Linked DNA regions of Arabidopsis thaliana. The protein of the gene in region 1 interacts with the protein of each later gene in a pairwise test. Each region holds a gene or a part of one and is shown on either strand. Other genes may lie near its edges.

Evidence for each region.
Region 2: the proteins of SCY1 (region 1) and ALB3 interact in binary tests that used the Arabidopsis thaliana proteins (3 or more experiments, as listed by UniProt).
Region 3: the proteins of SCY1 (region 1) and SECE1 interact in binary tests that used the Arabidopsis thaliana proteins (3 or more experiments, as listed by UniProt).

What each region holds. Positions count from the first base shown.
Region 1 is NC_003071.7:8,111,584-8,120,018, forward strand, and holds SCY1 (SECY homolog 1), read right to left. Parts: upstream 2,903-8,435; 5' UTR 2,870-2,902; coding exon 2,667-2,869; intron 2,457-2,666; coding exon 2,299-2,456; intron 2,217-2,298; coding exon 1,531-2,216; intron 1,450-1,530; coding exon 1,236-1,449; intron 1,149-1,235; coding exon 985-1,148; intron 879-984; coding exon 648-878; 3' UTR 501-647; downstream 1-500. Other genes in the region: TPS11 (trehalose phosphatase/synthase 11), read left to right, coding at 1-216; AT2G18720 (Translation elongation factor EF1A/initiation factor IF2gamma family protein), read right to left, coding at 3,337-3,906, 3,992-4,210, 4,296-4,523, 4,607-4,709, 4,786-4,954, 5,053-5,176; AT2G18721 (uncharacterized protein), read left to right, coding at 5,416-5,523; DGK3 (diacylglycerol kinase 3), read left to right, coding at 7,393-7,752, 8,073-8,195, 8,287-8,424. UniProt on the Arabidopsis thaliana protein: Involved in protein export. Probably interacts with other proteins to allow the translocation of proteins across the chloroplast thylakoid membranes. Required for normal greening during embryogenesis. Central subunit of the protein translocation channel SecYE.
Region 2 is NC_003071.7:12,354,079-12,363,318, forward strand, and holds ALB3 (63 kDa inner membrane family protein), read right to left. Parts: upstream 5,491-9,240; 5' UTR 5,081-5,490; coding exon 4,706-5,080; intron 4,618-4,705; coding exon 4,507-4,617; intron 4,397-4,506; coding exon 4,322-4,396; intron 4,245-4,321; coding exon 4,184-4,244; intron 4,100-4,183; coding exon 4,026-4,099; intron 3,925-4,025; coding exon 3,820-3,924; intron 3,679-3,819; coding exon 3,571-3,678; intron 3,479-3,570; coding exon 3,375-3,478; coding exon of another isoform or gene 3,341-3,374; exon of another isoform or gene 3,067-3,340; coding exon 2,917-3,066; intron 2,817-2,916; coding exon 2,591-2,816; 3' UTR 2,243-2,590; downstream 1-2,242. Other genes in the region: AT2G28790 (Pathogenesis-related thaumatin superfamily protein), read right to left, coding at 586-1,410. UniProt on the Arabidopsis thaliana protein: Required for the insertion of some light harvesting chlorophyll-binding proteins (LHCP) into the chloroplast thylakoid membrane.
Region 3 is NC_003075.7:8,513,184-8,520,196, reverse strand, and holds SECE1 (secE/sec61-gamma protein transport protein), read right to left. Parts: upstream 3,098-7,013; 5' UTR 2,950-3,097; coding exon 2,416-2,949; 3' UTR 2,243-2,415; downstream 1-2,242. Other genes in the region: OASA1 (O-acetylserine (thiol) lyase (OAS-TL)), read left to right, coding at 147-179, 267-376, 464-521, 602-865, 957-1,094, 1,192-1,243, 1,373-1,452, 1,560-1,619 and 2 more; OFP11 (ovate family protein 11), read right to left, coding at 3,118-3,666; LOI1 (Pentatricopeptide repeat (PPR) superfamily protein), read right to left, coding at 3,922-4,387, 4,662-6,250; AT4G14840 (spindle assembly abnormal protein), read left to right, coding at 6,665-6,702, 6,901-7,013. UniProt on the Arabidopsis thaliana protein: Involved in the import/insertion pathway in the thylakoids. The signal recognition particle is not involved in the insertion of SECE1 in the thylakoid membrane.

The DNA.
Region 1 (8,435 bases):
CAAGATGTTTCCTCTATTGGTCTCGAAGAGGTCTTTGCGTGCACAGTTGGTCAGAAACCGAGCAAGGCCAAGTACTATCTCGATGATACCCCAAGTGTTATCAAGATGCTTGAATGGTTGGCCTCAGCTTCAGATGGATCAAAGCATGAGCAACAGAAGAAACAGAGCAAGTTCACTTTTCAACAGCCTATGGGACAATGTCGAAAGAAAGCATAGATCTTTGAAAGGGTTTGCGTTAGATTTTATGTTGTTGTGATATTAAAAGATTATAGGATTTGAAGGTTTTAGGTTACCTGAAAGGTTTCTAGGTTTGCTATATATGCCTTTTGTACAGAGTATCTTGAACTGGTCAATTCGGTTACTTTGCCCCCATGTGAGATGCTTATACATAGAAAAGGAAATAGATATAATATGATGAATTCATTTCAATTTTGTTTTCTTGTCGAAGAGAGCTCTTCTTCTGATTGAAAATTGGGAAAGACAATTTGTTCTGATGAATTATATACTAGGTTTCACTTTCCTTTGGCAAGCTCATGACAAAAGTGCATTATATACTAATCAAAGTTTAAAACATTTGTTACAATCTATGACAAGAGAACACAGTAACTTGGTTTGATGGGTATTATATGTAAAACAGAAGGTCCAGTTCATGGATCATACTTGTCAAGCTCGTAAAACTCAATGTTCTTGTACTTTTGCGAGATTATCTCTGCTTGAACCTTTCTTGCAGTATCTGTCGCACACCCGACAAGGATCAGAACAGAAGTGCCTGCAAATCCTCTGAATGCTGTCAAGTGAGTGATCTGTTCGACTACAGCAGGACCAGCAGCTAGAACAGCCAGAAATGCAGAACCAAGAACCGATATCCGGCCAAGGACCTGATATTGCAATCAGAGCGAGACATTTTCAGATAGTTGTTAGATGATAAACCAAAATGGGAAGTTTGTAAAAATTGATCAAGGAGAGAGGGAGAAAAGATCTTACGGTTTTGATGAAGAGAGCAGTGCTTTTACCAGGTCGGACTAGAGGGATTGATGCACCTTGGCGTTTTAATTGTTCACTCACGTCGTCCGGGTCAAGTTGCAAGAAAGTGTAGTAGTAGTTGAAGAAAGCTATGAGAAGTATATTGGTTGGAAGATAGAAAGAACCTGCAATAGTTTGTTTGTGAAGTCATCAACAAAAAACAGTTTCAAAGGACCCAATCTTCTTACTTGCTGTGTATTAGGAGAACTTACCTCCAGGGGTTAAAGCAAAAGCAACATTCTTCAAAGCAGATATGCCGGTAAATCGTGCTAAAGTAGCAGGAAGAGCAAGAGATGATGTGGAGAATATGATAGGCATTACTCCCGCACTATTGACCTTGAATGGAAGATAAGCAGATTTCTGAAGCCCACCAGCTTTGCTGGTGTATCGCGAGGCATAATTGAGCGGAATTTTCCTCTCTGCTTCCTGAAAAACTTTGCTTGTTAGACTATATAAGCATACCAAACTTCTTAGATTCATTAAAAGGAACAAAATTTGGTATAGTACCTGAACATATACTATCCCGAGTACCAAGAGGAGAAATGAAACAACGATGGTTCCAAGACCAGTATAGTTTCCTTCCTGTAAGGCCTCTGCTGTTGTTCTACCGAATGATGCAGGCAAGTAAGAGATGATACTTGTGAAAATCAATAGGGAAGTGCCATTTCCAAGTTTCAGATCAGAGATTCTCTCTCCAATATATGTAGTGAGAACAGAACCAAGCGTTAACAACGTAACAGAAGAAACAACCCATTCCGTGCTGAAGTCATTAACGTAAGGACGAAGGTAAAACACTTGTCCGATTGCTTGTACTATCGCAAAACCAACTGAAGCATATCTAGTATACTGAAGAATCTTTTTTCTACCAGCTTCACCTTCTTTTTTCTGAAGATCTTGCAACTTTGGATAGACTTGAGCAAGAAGCTGAAACACAATCTGAGCGTTGATGAAAGGAACAATCCCGAGAGAACATATACCAAGTCTACCTATGCCTCCACCAGAAAATGTATCCAAAGTGCTCAAAATGCTATTCTGATCCAAATTTCCAACAAAAGCTTCTCGATTAACCCCGCCGAGTGGTATGTAAATTCCAAGCCGAGAGAGAGCTAAAAACCCAAGAAGCTTCAGAAACTTCCCTGGCAATGGCCCTTTGAAGAAATCTCCAAAATCAATGGAACTGTCCTCAATAGCAGCTGAAGTTTTCAAAGAGTAAAGCAACCATCATCAATCATGCTAAAACATACAATAAGCAAATGTAGATAAGCCAAAACGAACCTGCCACGCCTCTACCAGAAGACGGCTTATCTCGCCTGTTACCGGAAGAGCTTTCAAATGATGGTGACAAAAGACTCACAAAGCTTTCCCAAATGCTACTTAAACCAGAAGTTTCATCTGGATTGATCCCCAACGGATCAAAAACCGAAGCCTCAGAGCTGAAACATCAACTCCAATCAACAAACAATGCAGCAGTAAGTGACAAAACATCAGCATTTCTACGAACTAGTGATGAAATAACCCTCAAATCTCCACAATTCAAGAGAAATTCACATGAAAAGTTTCGAACTTTAAGTCGCAATATCTATAACAAGATCATTATCTTCGATTTCAAATGGAACCCATCTGAAATCTGAAAGAAGAAGTACCTTCTAGAGTTGATAACAAGACCGAGATTCCATGATTTGGCTTTACAAGTGTTCCTCCTGGTCTTTGTCGAAACAGAGAAGAAGCTTCCTTTGTAAAGAGAAGAGCTTCGCAATCTCGAAGATGATTTGTGATTGAGACGAGACAGAGACGCGAAGTTTGAAGAAGAAGAAGAGTAAGAGGAAACTTCGCTTACCGTTATCATCCTTATCCTTCTTCTCCTTCTCCACAACAACGACGATTTCTTCTTTTCCTTTTCACTTTTTTTTTTTTTCTTACGGAATCCAGCTAATGGGCCAGGCCTTTTAGGCCCAATACATCTTTTGCACATTATTAATCTTTGTTGTTTTGGGCGTTAGGAATGAGACCATGACTTCAAGTCTTTCTTTCTGTTTCTTCAAGACTTCAAGTTTCAAGTTTCAACAATCACAAATTATATCTTTCTCTCAAATGAACTATGTAGGATAATTAGTTAATTAAGCTGTAACATCCATAGACTATAAAACTTTTAATAACAAATCAAGATGATGCAATTGATCAAACTCTAGTTAGACTTCACACAAAAAGCATAAGCACATAGAAGTTTAGTTATCTCCTTTGGTGACAGATTAGGAATACTCTGAAGATATAATGAGACTACAAGTTTGGTATATGTGAATGCATCAAATATAATCATGCCAAAGAAGGAGGAGAAGGGATAAAAATGGTGGTTCCAGCCTCAATCTGACCGCGACCGATCAAACGCCAATGCCTATCCACACGGCGACTTATAGCCACTTTCTCTCCAATGCTGGTGCACACAGGGAGTGTCAGATTAACTTTCACCATATCTTTCTTTACTCCAATAACCATAGCTCCCGTAGACATCGATCCGATATTCAACATCAGTATCTCTCCCTTGACTAGCTTTGACACTCTCATTTGCCTCTCTGTTTCCTTTGTCTTCACTCCAATGAGACGTGTCAGAAGCTGGAAACTCACTTCAAGTTCAACATAGACATCAGGGAGAGTACCTATTTCACCAAGGACTTGACCAACTAACCTATCACCACGCGTAAGCGTAGGATCCATGCTTGTCCCAATTCCAATCAAACCTCCCGGGACAGCAAACTGAAGCTCGTTCTGTTCCGCGTACAATGAAGTTATACGCGTGTAAATGGGAGTGCATTTAGTGTCTCCATTCTCATCTTTTCTAGTGATTCCAGGTCTTATCTCTATTATATGCCCCACCTTCAAAACACCCTGCAAACAAAGCAAAGAGAGACATAAGTTACATTGATTCAACCGCGATTTATCCTAGTTTTTCGGGGTATTGAGTATGTTTTACCTGAAGGATACTCCCACCTGCAACTCCACCTTTCATACCATCATAATCAGAGCCAGGTTTATTGACATCAAAAGAACGAATCACAATCATTCTTGGAGGTGACACAAAATCCCTCACAGGGAGTGGAATCTTCTTGACAATGTACTCACACAAAACATCGATGTTGTATTTCAGTTGCGCTGAGACAGGAACTATAGGAGCACCTTCCGCATTCGTGTTCTGTAATAACAAGTTTAAAACTTAACCAACTAATCAAGAAGTGAAAAATGCAAAAAAAAAACAGAATGGGAAAATTGAATCAAACCGTTATAAATCTCTGGATGTCCTCGTGCTGTTTAATAGCCTCGTTTTCTTGGATGAGATCAATCTTGTTCTGAATGATTATGATATCTTTAAGATGCATCATATCAACAGAAGCAAGATGTTCAGCTGTTTGTGGTTGTGGACATGTCTCATTCGCAGCAATGATTAGTAAAGCACCATCCATAATCGCTGCTCCATTCAGCATTGTCGCCATTAGGATATCGTGTCCCTAATCAACACACAAAACACCTCATTAACATATAGAAAATGGTTACAAAAGATTTAGAAATAGTGTTAAAACTCATTTTATACCGGGCAATCAACAAATGAGACATGTCTTAGTAGTTTCATCTTGTACTTCTCATGTCCAGAGACATCACAACTTGGGTTGTCTTCTTTGCCACTCCCGAAAGACCTATAATTAACACATATCATAAGTTGCTACGTACACTACGTAACCTTATTGTAGCAAAAGAAGAGCAAGAATTCACTTGTAGGCTACTGGTCTAGGGCATTTTTCACATTTGTAAATCTTTGCGTTTGCGTAACCAAGTTTAATGGTAATGTTACGCTCCAATTCACTCTTGAATTTGACAGTGTGCACACCGGAAACGGCTTTCACGATTGTCGATTTCCCGTGAGCGACATGGCCAATGGTTCCTGAGATATAGAGAGCATAGTCATATCTTTAGCTTTCAATGCACGGCTGATCAGTTTCTTCAGCATCAAAACTCAATGAAACAAAAACTTGTGTATACCTATGTTAATGGTGGCTTGACGAGAGATGACCTCAGGAGAGAGAGGATGCAGCTGAGCTACATCAAGTTTACTTAGATCTTGTTCAGCTAAGCCCTTGTTCTTCGACATTACGACAGATTTCATCTTAAACACTCTGTTGCAATCAATCAAAGTTCACAACTTTAGAACAACGTTGATCAGAGCCAATACAATAACACTAGAAGTTTCGAAAGGCTGTTCAGAAACTAGGGTTTTTATGCAAGATGGATGGGTTCCGTTCACAATAGTTACGATTCGATTAAATTCAATTAGGGTTGCTAATCTATTTCACTGAAGTTCTTATAAAAATGATTTACACAAACCTGAAGTACGGTAAGAGGTAGATGAAGAAGTTTGCTCGCAGAGATTTCAGAGGAGAAAGCGTGCCGTTGAAGGTTTGTGTTTTTGGTTTTGATAAAGTCAGGTGGCGTGTAAGGTATATTTATAGGTAGGGTTTTATCTTAACGTTTACTGTTTGTCTTTTTCGCCAACTTCATTTTTCCATGTGTCAATAAAACATGTCTTACAATTTTTATTTTATAATTGTCGGTTTCTTACCCGAAATGTTTTTTTATAGGAAAATTTGTGTTAGGTAATTTTGCAATTTCATTTACAAAATATAGCACGCTCCTTTTGAGATGGGCTAAAATCGTTCCAAAGTTTGGGCTTACACGCCTAACCATTGGCCCACTCCAGTTTACTTCTATCTTTCACCAAACTAAGAAACATTGATCCTTGAACAAAAAGTAGTATATGTTTATATGATGACAAAAAAAAAAGAGTAGGAAATCTATGATTCTATAGGAGTGTAAATGAATAAGCTGTGATAAATTTAGGTTATTTTTCTTAACGATATATATTGTTAGATCAAATTTTATAGTTACATCATTTGGAGTATAATGTAAATATGTTCCGCTTTATAATAATGTAAATATGATTTGTAATACTAATGAGAACACACGCTCATTGTCTTCCAGTTCAAGAAATATCTTAAACCCCACTTTTTATCAGCCACCTGAATTTGAGTCTTCCTCTGCCACATAATAAATTGTTTACATGGACCAATTCTTGGTTACAAAACATCTGATATCATATCGTGCAATTAAGAAGGTATTAAATGATGTTTTTTTCTGTGGCATTTGTATATACTTTCAAGTTTCGACCAATTCTATAAGTTAAGAAAAAGGCATTGAGGGAAATTTAGGTTAGAAAAAGTACACAACGATCCCAGCAATGGGAAGTAGCTATCACTTTCAGTGACCCTATTTCTCTGAGTGGGCAATAACATTGTAGGCCCCATTCTGTGGAAAATCCACTAACTTCAATGTCTGCTCTCATTTTCTATTGTCTCCTTCGCTGTTTTTTTACAATTTACGTTACCACCAAAACTATTCCTTTGTTTAATGACGAAAACGCCACTCTTTCTAAGCAAAATGTCAGAGAATTTTGTTTCTTTGTTGGAGAGTTGAAAATATTTTTTACATAGAAAAAGAAACCAATAATGCAGTCAAATAATAATAGGAAGCAAATAATAATGCAAGTATCTCTAATTCTCTATATCAAATTGTATTCAATCATATTCACCAGATGTAACCTCTATAATGGAACCTTTTTGAATATTAAAATATCATTAGATCCTATTCTTACAATGTATCAATCAATTACTAATTAATTTTCTCTGGTTTTCTTGATATAACAATAACGTTAAAAAATCTCATTGTTAATCTCTTTATGCCATCATTAGTATTGTAAGATTTTGTACACTTTAAATTGTAAATTTGATCTTACAGAAACAAAAGATCTACAAATCTTAGTTACAGAAGATAATGGTATTAAACTATACAAATCTTAGTAGTTTAATATTATTAATAATCAAAATTATTCTAAATTAGAACTTTTACAAAATAAACATTTATCAGTCGCTTTCATAAATGTCAAACAATAAAAAAAGAAAAAGAATCAAAGATCTAAAGAGTGGCATTTTTATGACGTCACATTGAAATCCAACCGTGTAAATTCTTTTTTTTTCAATATAAGCAAATTAATTCACACGTTTTGTGCGCTGTCTTCGAAACTAAATCATTTATAAAAAAGACAAAACAGACAAGAAAATACAAACTGTCAAAAGAAGATTTTATATTGGTTGATTTGAAATCTCTCAGCAAAGAAGAAGAAGAAAGATTAAAAAAAAACAATCCTTTATTATTTTTCATTTCAACTCCAATTTTGATTATCTGGGTTTCGAATATTCCTCATTTTCTCCAATCACAGGACGAAAAGTAATCATCTTTTTGTCTTTTCTTCTCCGGCGAGAGACTACAATGGACTCTCCGGTATCAAAAACCGATGCATCGAAAGAGAAATTCGTGGCTTCACGACCATCAACGGCTGATTCAAAGACGATGAGAGGTTGTGGACTCGCGAATCTGGCATGGGTTGGTGTAGATAAAGTAGAGCTTCGTCAGAGGTTGATGATGCCTGAGTATCTTCGTCTCGCTATGCGTGACTGTATCAAACGCAAAGATTCCTCGGCTATTCCTGATCATTTACTTCTTCCTGGTGGTGCTGTTGCTGATATGGCTCCTCATGCTCCTATGGTTGTTTTCATTAACCCCAATTCTGGTGGTCGTCATGGTCCTGTTCTTAAAGAGAGGCTTCAACAGTTGATGAGCGAGGAACAGGTTTTGCTCTCACTGAACTTGTATTTCAAATCTTTTTCTTTGGGTTTTTGGGGGAATTTCGAATCTAATTTGTATCTACTTTGTGTTTTGATTATGTTAGTTTGGAAACTTTCTTAAAGTCTCTGGCTTTTAAGTTTTTAATGCTTGATTTATATGTTTATGCTTAGCTGATGTTAGATCTAGTGTTTTGTTGGAACTTTGAAGGATGAGTTACGTTTAAAGATTGAGTCTTTTGGAAAGCTGAGTGATGTTGATGTTGTCAAGTTATTGGTTTGAGCTTTTGATATTGAAACTTCATGGTGACTTTTGTGTTGATACAGGTGTTTGACCTCACGGAAGTGAAGCCGCATGAGTTTGTTCGATACGGGTTGGGGTGTTTGGAGAAAGTGGCAGCGGAAGGAGATGAATGTGCAAAAGAATGCAGAGCAAGGTTGAGGATTATGGTGAGTGTATTGACCATATTTTTCTCCAATCTCTATAGATCCACTTGAATGTTTTTAGCAATCAGAATTGTGAATGGAATTGGTTGGATAGGTTGCAGGAGGTGATGGTACTGTTGGTTGGGTTCTTGGATGTCTTGGAGAGCTTAATAAAGATGGAAAGTCGCAAATTCCTCCTGTTGGAGTTATTCCTCTCGGTACAGGGAATGATCTTTCAAGGAGTTTTGGTTGGGTGAGTTGTGT
Region 2 (9,240 bases), 4.2 Mb from region 1:
TTTATTGGATTTTTCTTTTCTCTGTAAGTTCAATATAGCCACTGTACAATTCAGATTTTTGTCTTTTTTTTTTTAATAAGTTTTTGTTAAGCGAAAAGTTAAATATATTTACTACCGATATACTACTTGATTAGTGGTTCACATTATACATTAAAAAATGTGGAAACTCGTGATATAAAATATCTTACCGACAAATACAAAATAAAAAGGTGTAAGAACAAAACACTGTCTAAGCCTGCAAGCCTCGAATAAAAACAATGTACCTTTTTTTTAATATCGAGTAAAAACCGTGAATATCAACTGAAAACAAATCATTCTTTCAAAATGGTTATTCTTGAACCAAAATTTTTTAAATTGTTACCATTCCAATTATAACTTCTCTATCAATGTTTAAGCATTACAGAATCGAAATAAAAAAAGAGAATTAAAGAGAGCAATTTCAAGATAATACATAATTTCATAGTTGGACTACATAACTGAACCGGGAAATCGCATACTAAACCAATCAAAATCAGACTAACCAAACAAAAGCATTAGAAGATCAGTCCGATGTTACGACAATAACCCTAGAACATGGCCGAAACATTAGTGGCAGAAGATGACTTTGAGCTCTCTAGGAGAAGCACAGTCATGCATAAGCGAAGGACTATCATGAGCAAAAGTGAAACTCGAAGGACACGCATGCTTAAAGAACAGCGAATGGCTCGAAGCTTTACACGTGTTAGGGCTATTGTAATGACCACGACAACACAGCTCGTCTGTATGGAAAGCCTCACACCCACTCTTACAAGCCACCACGTGTCCACTGTGTGACCGGACCTGAAGATGAGCCGGACACGTTTTTATTAGATCTTCACGACAACCAACGACAGGACAGACACCATGGCCTTCGTGAGGAGTCACGGTCATCGGAACATTGTAACCGTCAACGAGAGAGACACCGTAAGAGGAGAAGTCGTGGTGACCACCGTGGTGGAGGTCGAACTGAGCTAGAGAAGCTGGTGGTGCCCCGCCGAGACCGTTGCATTCCAGGCGGTTTCCGCAGTCTCCGGTGAGGCAGGAGAATTTTCCGTTGTAGTGGGCACACCAGGTTCTGGCCCAGATGCGACCGGACCAGTGTGTGGTTGGAACGTTGAAGGAGCGGTGAGTGAAAGTTGGGAGAGCGAAGCCACCTTTCTCTAGGACGGGGTGGCCGGCGTTGGGTTGAATGGCTGGCCAGACAGTGAAGGGACAGTTGTTGACGACGGTGAGGAAGAGACGGGAAGTGTCTACGGCGGAGGAGAAGGAGATGAGGAGGAGGAAGGAGGCGGCGAGAGGAAGAGAGGTTTTAGCCATTGTGTAGCTTTTGGTGTGAAAGGTGTGCCAATGCGACGTGTGTGTATATAAGCTAAAGTATTTTTCGATATGCATACATTTTTTGGAGTGACGAAAATACCCTTTGGATGTTTTGGGTGGTTAGGCAATGAATTTAGCATGTGGGTTTAAGGAGGCGAAGGGCTTTAATGTCAGTTTAAAAGAGATGAATATTGGATTCTATTTCTATGAGTCAAAAGCTTGAAAGCTCTTTAAAGAATAAAATGATGGCATGTGGTTTGTGACTAACGAAGCTTTGTTTCCTTCATTGGTAAACTAATCCTAATGTGTGTTTTTGGTAAATAGCACTATTTCGGATGGTTGAAAAATAACATATTCTGAAAATATTAGGCAGATATATTAATTTTTAGCTGTTTCCAACAGTTTTGCTTTTCTAGGATAGTAAGCATTCACATATGTAATGTTTACAAGTTACAATGAGTAAACCATAATGCAAACATTTTAGATGGACCGATTGATTTATGTGTTCTAAACTTCTAAACCTATTGAAATGTACACTCTATTACATGCTATGTGACTCATGATTGTAACAACATGACAACTTTCTCTGAATATTAGTGTAATGTGGCTACACTGACAAGTTATATTCGTTCAGATTAGTAACAGGGTTCTTTGACAAACACATCAAAACGACAAACACCAAACGACAACACGACAAAACAAGATGTCTTTTGTCTACTTGTACAACTTCGAGAATTTGAAAATCGTGTAACCATATCTTGGGCCTCAGCCCAATCCAAATCGTAATATTTTTACCTCTCTCTATTTTATCCATGCCAATCCAAAGAACAATGCTTCTTTGTCAGGAAGTAATTGTTGTTTATTCATGGGGAATCGTTGTCTCGTTTATTGCACAAATTACTATACTACTTGATTCACATTTACCATTTTTATAAGCTGACAAAGCTAATAAAAGCACCAAACAAATAGATTGCAAGTTTACAACAACGAAATGCTAACAAAACTGAAGCGGGCATGTTGAAAAGTCATAATAGTACACACATTTACGTTAATACATTTATAATAAGATGAATCACATAAACAATTTACTTTGATCAACTACTGCTTTTAACTTTAGAATGACCTTTTTGTGCCCTAATATTAGATAATTACCGGACATGGTGTATGCAAATATATATCAAAAGATCAAACTAAGGAACAAGATTCAAATCTCTCTCTTTTCTCTTCCTTACTTGCAATTTCGTTTGCTTTGGTTCTATACAGTGCGTTTCCGCTTCGATCTTTTGCTTCTTCGTTGGCCAACCTCAGGAAGCGGCTTGCTTGTTGTGCTCGAAGCTAACGCTCCTTCACGAGCCTCTTCTTCCTCATCATCAGACCCTTCTTCTGATTCAGACTGAGATTCTTCTACCAATTCAACTGTATCTTTCGCAACCGCCTTGTTCTTCTTGCTGCGCTTCTCTTGCTCTTTTAATTGTCTAAATCTGTTGTGATCCAATATACATTTATCAGAAATAACAAACTTGTAAGAAAAACGCTTCGTATTGAGAGATATAATCTCCACTAGACTCGGGATTCACTTACCTTTCGCCAGCATCGTCAGGCTGAGCAATAGATCTCTTTGCTCGTCCCGCACTTATTATTTTGCTTGCGTTTTCATCCATATTTGGCTTTGCACCACCTAGTTTACGCAGATATACTTGTTGGGCGGTACTAAGTACATTATTTGTGAGCCTAAAACCATAGGATGGTTTAACATAAGCAGTAGCATAATAAAAAGGGAAAAAATAAAACTCAGATCCTACCAATAAACACAGTCATATACAATAATATTGATGTTACAAAATGTAGTCACACTAGATGATTCCTTATCAAACAAGCTTCGTATTCCTCGAAATTCTAACCCGTCTTACGTACATTTTGAGAATGAAGCCATCTAGGTTAATTACTAGAGAAAATCTTTCTTATACTCCATTTAATGAGTAGATCAAGGGCATGGATAAAACAGTTAGATGAGAAGTTTCAAGGAGAGGGAAACCAACCAGTAAATAGATAGTCCTGATGGGACAGACAATGCAAAGTAACCGATCATGAGTGGAAGAAACTTGAAAACAAGAAGCGTATTCTTCTGTGCAGGATCATCAGTCTGACAAAAGAAATTAAATTCGGTTTCAGAACAATCATATCAAATTGTTTAAGTAACAGGAAAAATAAAAGAAACTTGTGTTTATTTCTCACTTGAGGAGGCTTCATAATTTCCATTGACACATACTGGGAGGCAATAAGTAGAACAGGTAGAACAAGATAAGCTACAGTGTCATACCATCCCAATGGTGGATGCCCGTCCTGCACCACCGAACGATATTAGACACCAATTTGATAAAGGTTCATTGCACAGCAAAAGACTCAGTTGTATGAAATTTTTTAGTATAAAGATAAGTATCAAATGAGAAAACGTATTCACATAAAGTTTTTTTCTTCCATTACCACAAACGGAAAAAGCCACGAAATGCCGGATCCACTCTGCCGAGCAGCTATAGATGTTGGTCCACCCAGAGATGGAATCCAAAAGAAACCTTCTGTAAACAATCCCTACAAAAAAAAAGTTTTTAGAACAATTAGTAGTTGAAAGAGACAAACTTATCCGGTCTCTAGCGAAATCAGTAGTTGAAAGAGACATAAGGTATATGTACCTCGTTGGCCACGTTAGAGAGAGCTTGGTATAAACCAATCCAAACTGGTATGGTTGCTAAAGTTGGTAAGCAACCTAACATAAAAAAAACAATAATGTGCATATGTCACCACAATTCAGGAAGGGAATACAAAACTCGTAACTTCTAAAAGAAAGTACCTGCCAACGGATTAACACCAGCTTGTTTATACAATCGCGATGTCTCTAGTTGTATCCTCTCCTATATATCCAAAAACAGAACAAACAAATCAGACTCGTCATCCACAAGTAACTCATTCTCTATCCAAAGAAACTCACCTGATTTCCTGCGTAACGTTGTTGAATCGCTTTGATTTTCGGTTGAAGATTTTGCATCGCTAGTGTTGATTCAACCTAAAGGATTCCAAAACAAAAGCAATGCTCAAAAATTCTCAACCAACATGCCAAAATTGAATCAAAGTGACAAGAGGAGCTGCAAAATTCAACTAATCACACTCACTAACCTGTTGCTTAGTCAAAGGATACGTCGCTGCTTTGACGATAATCGTAAGCAAGATAATCGCAAATCCATAAGCATAAGGTACATGAACCGCTGATAATCCATCCTTCAAAATCTAAAAATCCAAACCAAAAAACTTAAGCTACAAATACAATTTCCAGAATTCTACACACAGAGATCGAAATTAGCAGCTTAAAACTCACCTTAAGAACCAATTCCATAGCATCGGAGATAAAACCAAACCAACCACCACTCTTCTGCACGGCGGATGAATCAGTAGTTACGACGGAATCAGCACCAACAACGGCGGCGTCAGCTATTGTATAGAGAAGAGATTCAGCTCTGGTGAAAATCGCTCCGATGTCTACAGATGAATCCAAGCCATGGAAAGGAGGAATCTCGTTTAAGCTGAATCGTACGGTGGTTGAAGTAGTGAAGAGTTTGTTATTATTACTCCGGTATGGAAGAAATTGAGCGGTTCCTCCTCCTCCTACTCCACTGTGACGGAGAGATGACGACGGTTTAATCAACGGTGAACCGAAGAATGAAGATGGAGACGAGACTAGAACTCTCGCCATTGGAGCTTGAGAGGAGGATGAGAAGAGACGAAGAAGAAGATAGAGATTTTTATTTTTTTATTTTGTAAATTTTTTTCTGGATTTATCTTTTTTTGAAAATAAATTGGAAAATGAAAATGAGAGACGAAGCTGGTGATCGCGCGTGGTGGAGATTACATCCAGTCATAGGAGTCCACGTGGACATGTATCTAACGTGGGATATATCGGTGCTTTTTGTAGTTTGGGCTTATTAGGGCCCATTTTAGAAACAGGCCTGCTTAACTTAATAGGCTTAATTACCAATCCATCAATCTCCAAGCTCAATGCATGGATCACTTCCCCAACACAAAATAAAACTGAAAGCATACAAAATAGAAACCGATTTAGAAAATACTTTATGTAAATACTTTTCTATAAAAATCAAATCTCGAATGCTTTGTGAATGTATGGTAAGCTTTTCCACAAAATATATATAATTGTGAAGAAAAAGCTGCGTACTCTCTTTCAATTAGTTGACATCGAATCTGATTCTCACACCACCACCTTTCTTACTTTTATTTCTTGTCATTATCACTTTCTTTCCACGTTTTATATTATGTAGTTTTTATAAACAAAAAAACAAATGAACTAATCTGAAACATTTATCGAGAACCTATACACAACCCTAAAAAGGTAAGCTTGAGTCATAGGACTTAACTTCCCAAAGCCATAATCCGGTTCCCAAATCTTCATAACTTACGAAATAGTAAGTGATTACAAGGCCTTTAAAGATTAATCCCACAAAGAAAATGTATTTAACACTAGAGCTTGATCGATGTCTATAATGAGTTCAGCCTAAATAATGGTCGTAAATAATGCTCTCTAACGTAAGATAGTTATAAATTACGCTTTGAGTCCCAAGTCTAGTGGAAAAAACAAATGGGATAGAATTTTCATGCTTTTAGGGAATTAAATGTGACCGCAAATGGGACTAAGTAAAATCTTTTGGATAATGATCTCTAGTGTTGTATAGATTTTAGGATCCTAATCTCTCAGTTAATAAGCAAAAAGAACAAGGTTTAAATGTTCATAGAGGGATTCGTTCCTTAATCTCTAGCTCAGATCGATAGCTTCAAAACCTATAATCAATAATCTCTCAATAATTTTTTACCAAAAAAAACAAACCTATAATCACCGGCTCGCTCTAAGTGCACACCCATACGTTTATGTGATGTAATATTCAACAAAACATAGCTAACGTTATGAGTTTTTTTAAGCATCATACTGAATTAAATATCTTCCACATTGTTTTCAAGAATCATCCACCGTTCCTCAATTATATTTCACACGTCACGATCATATATAGACCTATACCAAATACTATATATAGAAATTAAATTTAAAGTTGTTTTGAAAATAATTATATTTGTTATTATTATTTTTCGTTGTGAAATAATTATTTATTTCATAATTTGTTTTTTAACATAAATTTTTGATAGAAATGATGATGTTGTAAGTTTGACAAAAAAAATAAAAAAAATGATGATGTTGTATTTTTTTCTTAATTTTATATGACAACGAACGATTAAGAGTTCGTATTTATTGTTTTATAACATAACGACGTCGACACAGAACTTTCAAGGCTAAACTCACTTTTTGATGGAGACGTAAGAATAATTTATGGGTAATAACTCATTAATTTGTTACTAAATAGAAATTATTTCTCTAAAATGCTTTTCAATTCATATACAAAGGATACATAGGAAAATTATAAAAAGTAATATTTGTATGTACGGACCATCAGAATAATAACGTAATATTTTTTAATCAGGTTGCATATTACCTCGGGCTTCCATTGATTAATGGGTGCATAAGTAATTAAGTAAATTCATATGCAAAGTTAAGAGTGGTACAAATTATAACCGCATATGCGTTCTTTAAAAAAGTAATTATGAAAATTTGTTCGGCAGATGAAGCAAATGATTAGTACACCTATGCCAAATCTTAAAAAATTAGAATGGAAAGCGATATATGAAATTGAACGTAGTCATATTGAATTCGTAATCGAGACTTTCACTATTGTTTTTAAGAATGTTTGGACGAGAAAGAAGCTCATAAAGCAATAAATTAGTTAACGTTCATAATTGAAGCATTGACACCAGGAGAGAAAAAAAGAGCAATTCATTGCTTCCCTAGTAAAAAAAAAAAAAAAAAAAAAAAAAAAAAAAAAAAAAATCAGATATTTGTGGATAAAGAGTTAAAAGAAATTGTTTCGTCATTTTTTTCTGTCATAATTTCGTCAACTTTTTGTTTAACAATATGCATTATATAAATTTTATTAATAATAGTAACACATAGACACGATTGTAGCATAAACCACTAAAATACATGGTTTCAGTGTATCTAAGCTTTTGACATGTAGAAGTTCTACGTTTTTCATGATAAATTCGAAAAATTATTGAGAAATGATATATGGTCAAAATGAAGAAAAAAAGAGAGAAGATAACAACAAAATGGAGAAGGACAAGAGCACAAAAGAGATGAGTGGGATTATGAAAAGGTTTGCTGATGATTTCATGCATGATCAACTAACGTTAAAGATTATTTGTTTTTAGGGTAATAATACAACATATACGCCATTTTAGGCAATCTCTTTCTGAAAAAGATGTTCGCATTTATATACGAAACGACTGATTATTAAAGATATATACTACATACAACAAAATCGTTAGGGAAAAGTAAAAGAGAAGATAAAATGTAGAGACAATTTGAAAGATCTCTTCTTTGTTCTTCTTTTGAAAATAAAAATAAAAGTAGACATAAAATAGAAGTTGTAAATGACAGGTTTCATCTTTTTCATGCTTTTTTTTCCCTTTCTTTACGTCGTTTGATACCGAGTAAAGTTATTTTCATACTAAGATTCAGTCATTATTCTTGTTAGAGTTATTGTTCTTATATATTGAAATATTAATATCAATAGGAAACGAGATTAGTATCATAGTTTTTTAATGATGACGTAGAACATTTATATTTCATTGAATAGTTAATAGTAGACAATCAATGGTTGTTTTATTGTGAATTTGGTTCACCCCTTTCATTTGTTTTATTGCAAGATTACAAGCTTATATATGTTTGCAATCAACAAGATAATTAATATATTCAAAAAAGATTCATATAAGAGATAAAACCATCGCCATGAAGATATCTAATGAACGAAGACGAAAACGACAGATCAGGGACAAGCCTACTCTTGAGTCTTGACCCACAAAGATACCCTAATTAAGCTTTCATGATTACGGATCTATATGATAATGAACCCTATTAAGCAAAGTTAATTTATACTTAGCCATCAACGTACATATATATTTCCAATAATAAATGCAAATAAAAATGATAATTATGACAAATTAACCAAAAGTTAAGTTAGCAATGGACCTTGGCGTTTTAAATATTGGCATGGTTAGCAAATAGCATACAAATATATGAAATGATAGCCTGAAAATCTAGTAATATTATTTTTATTTTAGTTTATAAGGCTCATCCATTACTTTTTATAAAAATGCCTTTATTCTGTTTACTGAAAAAAAAATCTTTTAACATAGTTTTGTCAATTTAAAATTCTGACTGACACAAAAATGTAAGTGTAACCAAAACAGAAAAGTGCGATATAATATTAAAAATATATAGTTACTGATAAAAAGTCATACTATTTAGTTCAGCATTTTACAATTTCAAAATAACAAGATTCCCAACATAAAAATTGCTGAACCAGAAAGCACGACTATAGCTAGATCTAATGACTAGAATGACCAAAGATATGATTTTCATTTGTGAGAAAAAAAGAAAGAAAGAAAGAGTTAAATTTGTTTGATTGCACAACTTTTTCGAAAGTCCCTCTTATCACTAAACCAATTCTGAAATGTTCACAAACTTGTTTTACTTAATGGTAAAGATAAAGCTAAAATAGTATTTTATTAATAAACACATTGCTTAAAGCAAATCAAGGTCTTTGACTCTTTTGGTTGTCACTTAGAATTAATGTCTTCAATTATCTATTCATCTAGGTCCCTCTTATTTCTTCATACTTAGACCTTGTAAATCATATGTATACATATGTGGTATTTTCTAACAAAAATCATATATTATAGATATTATTCGACAGAGGGAACCTTATAGGCGAAGAAACGTCCCTCCACTCAAAC
Region 3 (7,013 bases), on another chromosome or scaffold:
AAGAGTGTTGTATAACTGGATTGGTGCTCATACATCTGGAGATTTATGTTTGATGATTTTGTATGATGTGTTTTTGGTTTGAGGATGATTTATTCCTTTGGTCTTACTTTTCTCTTTTTGTGAATTTAAGCAGTGAAGCTTGAATCATGGCCTCGAGAATTGCTAAAGATGTGACTGAAGTAAGGCTTTCAAGTTCTTTCACTGTTCATTTCACGAAGGAGTGAGCTTTGTTCCATGTTCATGTATTGATTGATTCTATTTGGCAGTTGATTGGGAACACTCCATTGGTGTATTTGAACAATGTTGCTGAAGGATGTGTTGGTCGTGTTGCTGCTAAGCTTGAGATGATGGAACCGTGCTCTAGCGTCAAAGACAGGTTTCTTCTCTAGTCCAGAAACTATGTGTTGTTTCTCGCTTCGAGTTTCGGTTTTGTGAAGACCTTGTACTTTGTTTATTTCTGCAGGATTGGTTTTAGCATGATTTCTGATGCAGAAAAGAAGGGTCTTATCAAACCAGGAGAGGTCAGTTTCGATTATCTGAATCTTCAAACCACTATTTTGTTTTTGTTTTCATTGTTTCTGACTTTTTGTTTGTTCTTTAGAGTGTGCTGATTGAGCCAACAAGTGGAAACACTGGAGTTGGGTTAGCATTCACGGCAGCTGCCAAAGGCTACAAGCTTATTATTACAATGCCAGCTTCTATGAGTACTGAGAGAAGAATCATTCTCTTAGCTTTTGGAGTTGAGTTGGTTTTAACTGACCCAGCTAAGGGCATGAAAGGAGCTATCGCAAAGGCGGAAGAGATTTTGGCGAAAACACCCAATGGTTACATGCTTCAGCAGTTTGAGAACCCTGCCAACCCTAAGGTATGCTTATTATTTACTATTGCTTTAGTGTATCTGTTTTTGTCTGTTTTTGAACCATATTAAGTCGATGGAATTTCACTGTCAAATGCAGATCCACTATGAGACTACGGGACCTGAGATATGGAAAGGCACTGGTGGCAAAATCGATGGCTTTGTTTCTGGGATTGGTACTGGTGGTACCATTACAGGTGCTGGGAAGTATCTTAAAGAACAGAACGCAAACGTCAAGGTGAGAGCTCCATCTTTTCGAACAACTGGCTTTGTTATCTAAGTGACTAAGTGGTGTGTCTTTGCACGGTTTCTCATTTTGTTTCCTCTTCTGTTAGCTGTATGGAGTGGAGCCAGTTGAAAGTGCTATTCTATCCGGTGGGAAGCCAGGTGATTTTGGTTCCCCCTGCGTTTATTACGATAACCATGCATGCATGTTCCTCGTTTCTCGGTTTGCCTCATGTCTTATTTTTTATCCTCGGAGTTTCCTAACACATGATGTTTGCTGAAAATATCAAGGTCCTCACAAGATTCAAGGGATAGGAGCTGGTTTTATACCAAGTGTATTGAATGTTGATCTTATTGACGAAGTTGTTCAGGTAAGACTGCTTTTCGATATTATCGACTGATAGCAAAACACAATTGAATGCAAGAGAGCTTCATTTCTTACTTGACTCTCTCCATTTTCCTGTAACGCTTTCAACAGGTTTCAAGTGATGAATCCATTGACATGGCAAGGCAGCTTGCTCTTAAAGAAGGTCTTCTTGTAAGTGTTTCACATTTCACAACAAAAAGCTATCTCCATCAGAATTACAACTTCGTTCTGTTTCTAAAAACAAAAGCTATACTGTAGGTGGGAATATCATCCGGTGCAGCAGCTGCTGCAGCAATTAAACTTGCACAGAGGCCAGAAAACGCTGGGAAGCTATTTGTGGTAAGCTCTTTGATTCTATCATCACCCCAAAGCCAATAAGCTCTGATTACATAACCCGGATTTCTTTCTGATTCTGATGTAAACGAAATCAACTGAATTATTTTACAGGCGATATTCCCGAGTTTCGGGGAGAGGTATCTATCAACGGTACTTTTCGATGCGACAAGGAAAGAAGCGGAAGCCATGACCTTCGAGGCTTGAACATTCTCCATTTCTTCTTAAGAGACGCCAAAATAAAAGAGATGTTCAGTTTCTCCTATAGAGACTCTTCATCTTTAGTTACATTGCGTCTTTGCTTCCATCTGTATCTTCTCTTGTGTGCCAATAAAAGTCAAACTAGATTTTCTCTGTTTCTTTTGTGAACCACTTGCTTGTTAATGAAGTTTAAATTTGCTATGTAACTTTGTTCATAAGTATCATACTGTTTCATGATCAAAACTAAACCAACATAACCCAAGTCAATATTTCAGGCTAAATATAAGATTAGGATAAGAAGAAGGTAATGCTCAAAAGGAGTGATTCCGATAATTCTCTTTATCATCATCTACACAAATCAACAATGTTTCGATTTCTCATTGCAATCACTAAAAATTGTACACACAAATTTTACCATTTTCAATTCACAGGATCAGCTGAAGAAGTCTTGAACACCTCTTCCGATGAACACTCGATCAGAGAGTTCAGCCAAAAGGAAATTGACAGTGAGCAAGACGACGCTAGAGCCAGCGATAACACCGAGCACGACGCCGGTAGTTCCGAGAACTTTCTGAAACGCCGGCCACTCAATCTCCTTCACTTCCTCCGCAACTCCACTAAGAAACTCGTTCTTCCCTTTCTCTTCCTCCGCCGTTTTCCTCTGCTCCATCGCTGCTTTTATCTCTGCTCCTATCGCGCTAATCTCCACTTCCTTATCTTCTCCGCTTCCACTCTCTTCCGCCGGTGACGGAGTCGCTTCTGATTCCGATTCAGATCCAGCTGTATCTCGTCTCTGTTCTATAGCCTTAGCCACAAAACACGCCGATTTCCTCAGATTACTCGTCGTCATAGTTCTTATCTCAGTGTAAACCGGAAATACACGGAGATTAGACAGTGACGGTTTTGTATCCCGGAGACTCCTGGTTATTCCGGTGACCGGCGGCGAGAATTGTGCGGTTAGTGACATTTTTCGAAATTGGGAACTTTTTTAAGTTTTCTCAATTTTAGATTTGTGGATAATTCAGATATCTGAAGACTGAAGTAAATGATCAGATACAGCAATGAGTATAGTAAGAGTTGCTACAATTATTATGGGCCTTATAAAGCCCAAATATTTATTTGAAAAAATTTAAATTTAGGATAAAAAATGCTCTGGCGACGGCGACGGAGAAAGTAACCAGAGGAGCGTATCGGCGAAAGCAGAGACGATGAATCTGTGAGTATGTTTCGGATTCAAATAGAGATAACAGAATAACAGTTCGTGCAAGTATTCTCTATCGGCGACGACGTCTCTCGTTAAATCTCTAGCTTCCACCATCTCTCTCATCGATCTTCCGAAATCTCTGTACGGATCCGGTGACTCTATGTGCTTCATTATCGCCGTCCCGCCGCTTAAAAGCTTCGAAACGGAGGTGGTGGTTTCGTCTTCTTCTTCTTCTTCGCGGCGGTTAGTGGAGAACACCCCGGCGGGGTTCTCGGAACTGTGACGGCGGTGGAGGGGAGAAGAAACAGAGAGCTGATCGTAAAGAGAGTTGAAGTTGTTGATGAAGATTGAGGGAGTGTGATGAGGATGAGATTGAGCGTTGTGATTTGATACGATGATCGGAGAGGAAGGAATCGACGGTGAGAGACCACCGGAAGAGGAGAAACAGAGGTGTAGCTTCTTCCTTAGAAAATTAGACATTTTTGGTTTGTTTAGTTTTTAATCAAATGTAATTAAGGAGGCAATGCTTATTTATACATGCAAAAATACGTGTATTAAGACTTAAGAGGAGGTCACGTAGTGAATGCAATGTCCATAATGTAGCTGGATCCAATTTTTTTATATGTTTTTATAACGCGGATTTTACCAAGTCTTGAAATTAGAAGATTTTGATCATAATCGACTAAGTTTATAGTACAAAGATATAAATAAATGTTAAGCCTAAACTAATAAAGATTACCAATAATCCTTACAAGAACATATCCCATCTTTAAACCGATGAAACCGGTTATTGTCTCTCACAATGATCTCTCGTTTAACACTCCCAGAGACAAACTTGAAGAAGCTGTGGCAATCTCCGCAGATTCTAAGGTTCTTGGTGATTCTGATTGGGACACTGAGTGGTAAAGATAACAATCCAAATGCTAGAGCCAGTTTCTCACTGTGGTGCGAGACTTCTGCTGCTTTTTCTTCTTCCTCCAGATCGTAAAGCGAGAGTTTCAGGTCGGGTTTGTACCCTGCAGCTTCCATTTCGTTCCTTAGCTTGGCCAGCGTTGTTTGAATTTCTTTGTTCAGTATGTGGGATCTGTCCTTGGCTTGAAAGGCATGGACTTGGTTCTTCACTGTGATCCAACTGTATCCGGCTCCTTTCTTGATCCCTACGCCTTTCAGCTCCTCTCTTACGGTGTTGGCTTCCGCCCACCTATCATTGATTAGTTATAATATAGTTAGATCATAAGTAACTGAAGACAAAATAAATGGTTGGTCTCCCCTGCTTCATGTTTAACACAAGTTTCATCTATTTAAAACTCGATTCAGATAATGCTCAGATACTCCTAGTTTTGTAGTCTTTCTTCTAAACATTTGGGTGGCTCTTGTTTACAAAGCATCGTGTGGCTTCTTTTGAATTGATTAGAATATGATTTCAACCTAACAAGATGAATAAAAATTGAATAGAATCAATGCGGTTCATTTACCTCCCAGCCGCTGCAAACGTATTGGAAAGCAGAACGTGGTTGCCTGAATCCTTAGGGTCGAGTTTGAAAAGGTTCTCAGCTGCTAGTAATCCCAGCTGTGGCTTACCATGCATCCTACAAGCATTCTGAAGAGCACCCCAAACCGAAATTGTCGGTTGAATTGGCATTTTCTTTATGAATTCATAAGCCCGTTCTACCATTCCCGCTCGCCCTAGCATGTCCACGATGCATGAATAATGCTCAGCCCCTGGCTCAATGCCATAAGTACTCCTCATCGAATCAAATATCTTCATACCATTTTCCACAGCCCCTGCTCTACTACAAGCGGAAAGCAAGGACACAAAAGTCATATAATTTGGAGTTGGACCACATCCACGTGGTGCCATTTCTTCAAATAAAGCCAATGCCATATCAACCTGACCCTGATGAGCATATCCTCCGATCAATGAATTCCGAGTCACTAAGTTCTTCTCAGGCATCTCATCAAACGCTTGTTCTGAATCTTCTATACATCCACATTTTCCATACATGTCAACGAGGGCACTTCCAACAAATATAGTCCTTTCAACACACGCCTTCACAGCGTGAGCATGTATCGATCTTCCCAACTCAAGACCAGCCATACCAGCACACGCACTCAGAACACTTGATATCATAAAATCAGAGGTCTCAACAATATCCTTCCTTGAGCGTAAATATAATACAGACGCCTTCTCATCCTCATGATTCTGCACATATGCAGCAACCAATGAACACCAAGAAACAGCATTTTTAGTTCCCATTTCAGTAAAGATAATCTCACTGCTACGTATCTGCTTACACTTTCCATAGAAATCAATCAACCCATTGCAAACAGAGACGTCTGTATCAAACCCACTTCGTAACACAAGCCCGTGTAACTGCATTCCTAGATTCAAGTGTAACCAATCCGAACAAGCATTAAGGAAAGCACAAAAAGTTATCGAATTCGGGTGCCCATCAATCCTTCTAAACTCAATAAACGCTTCAATAGCTTCCCTAGGCCTTCCATCAGTCACAGAGTTAGATATAAAAGCATTCCAAGTTTCAAGGTTCCTCTCAGGAATTTCATCGAACAACTTCCGTGCATCATCTCTAAGCCTAGTTTTGCAATACATATCAAAAGCACTACACCCAACAAACACATCAAGTATCCTACCACACTTCACAGCAAGCGCATGAATCTGCTTCCCAGTAACGGGTAAACGCAGAGAAGCCACAGCTTTAAAAGCACAAGGGAAAGTGAAGTCATTTGGAACAACACCTTCTCGTCGCATCTCGAAGAATTCAACCAAAGCGGTGGAGAAATGACCGTTCTGAGCAAGTCCGGAGATAAGTGAAGTCCAAGAGACGACGTTTCGTGCAGGAGTGAGTCGGAGAACGAGTCGGGCTGATTCCGGATGGTCGAGTTTTGAGTACATGTTGATGAGATAGTTCGCGAGAAACGGAGGTGGTGGTGAATCGAGGGTTTTGACGATTCTTGCGTGAACGACGCGACCCAAACGCATGGAACTCGCGGAGATTGCATTCTTGAGAAGTAACCCAAGTGCGTCCGCGGAGAGGAGGCTCATAACTAACGCCGGTGATCGGAAAGGTCATAGCTTTCAAGTCGGTGAAGAAGAAACATTGAACGGTATAATCGTAATTTCAATCTTCATCTGTGTAAACAAAAACAAACTAAAAGGGTATAACTGTTATTCCACCTCTGTTTGTAGGACTAATCTGATCGAAAAGAGGATATATAAGAAACGAATGAGTTTGATAAATTTGTAATCTGTTGTAGTTGAAGCATAAGATCGGCTACTCTGTTCTTGACTCTCCAAAGTTCGTATCTTTATCTGCATTCTGGAGAAATTTCTAATCAACTTAACTTTTAATTTGTGTGGGTTTGTTCCCTTAACATTGTTATAGATTAGAATTCATCCTTTGCTTTGTTTATTTGGGTGTTTATCTATCGCAGGAATTAGGGTTTTTGGTCTGCTTCGATGGATATGGATCAAGAGATAGGTCAAAATTCTCCTGGGTAAATTCAATTCATTAAGAACTATCAATATGTTTACACTTCTGTATAGGTTTCTCTGCATTGATTCTAGGAAACTTTGAGTCATGATCGATTTTGTTTTGTTATTGGGAATAGAGTAATGAATATATGTGATTATAACTGCAAAGCAATTAGTTAAGTTATGTTATTTGATTCAATCACATTTATGAATCTGCACAGATTTGATGGTGAATCAGTAGTGTCAATGAGTAATAGAAGCAAGGAGACTGAACCAGTCCCGGTTGAGAATGACTATTATCGGGAAAACGGATTCAACAGTGATGGTGATGGTG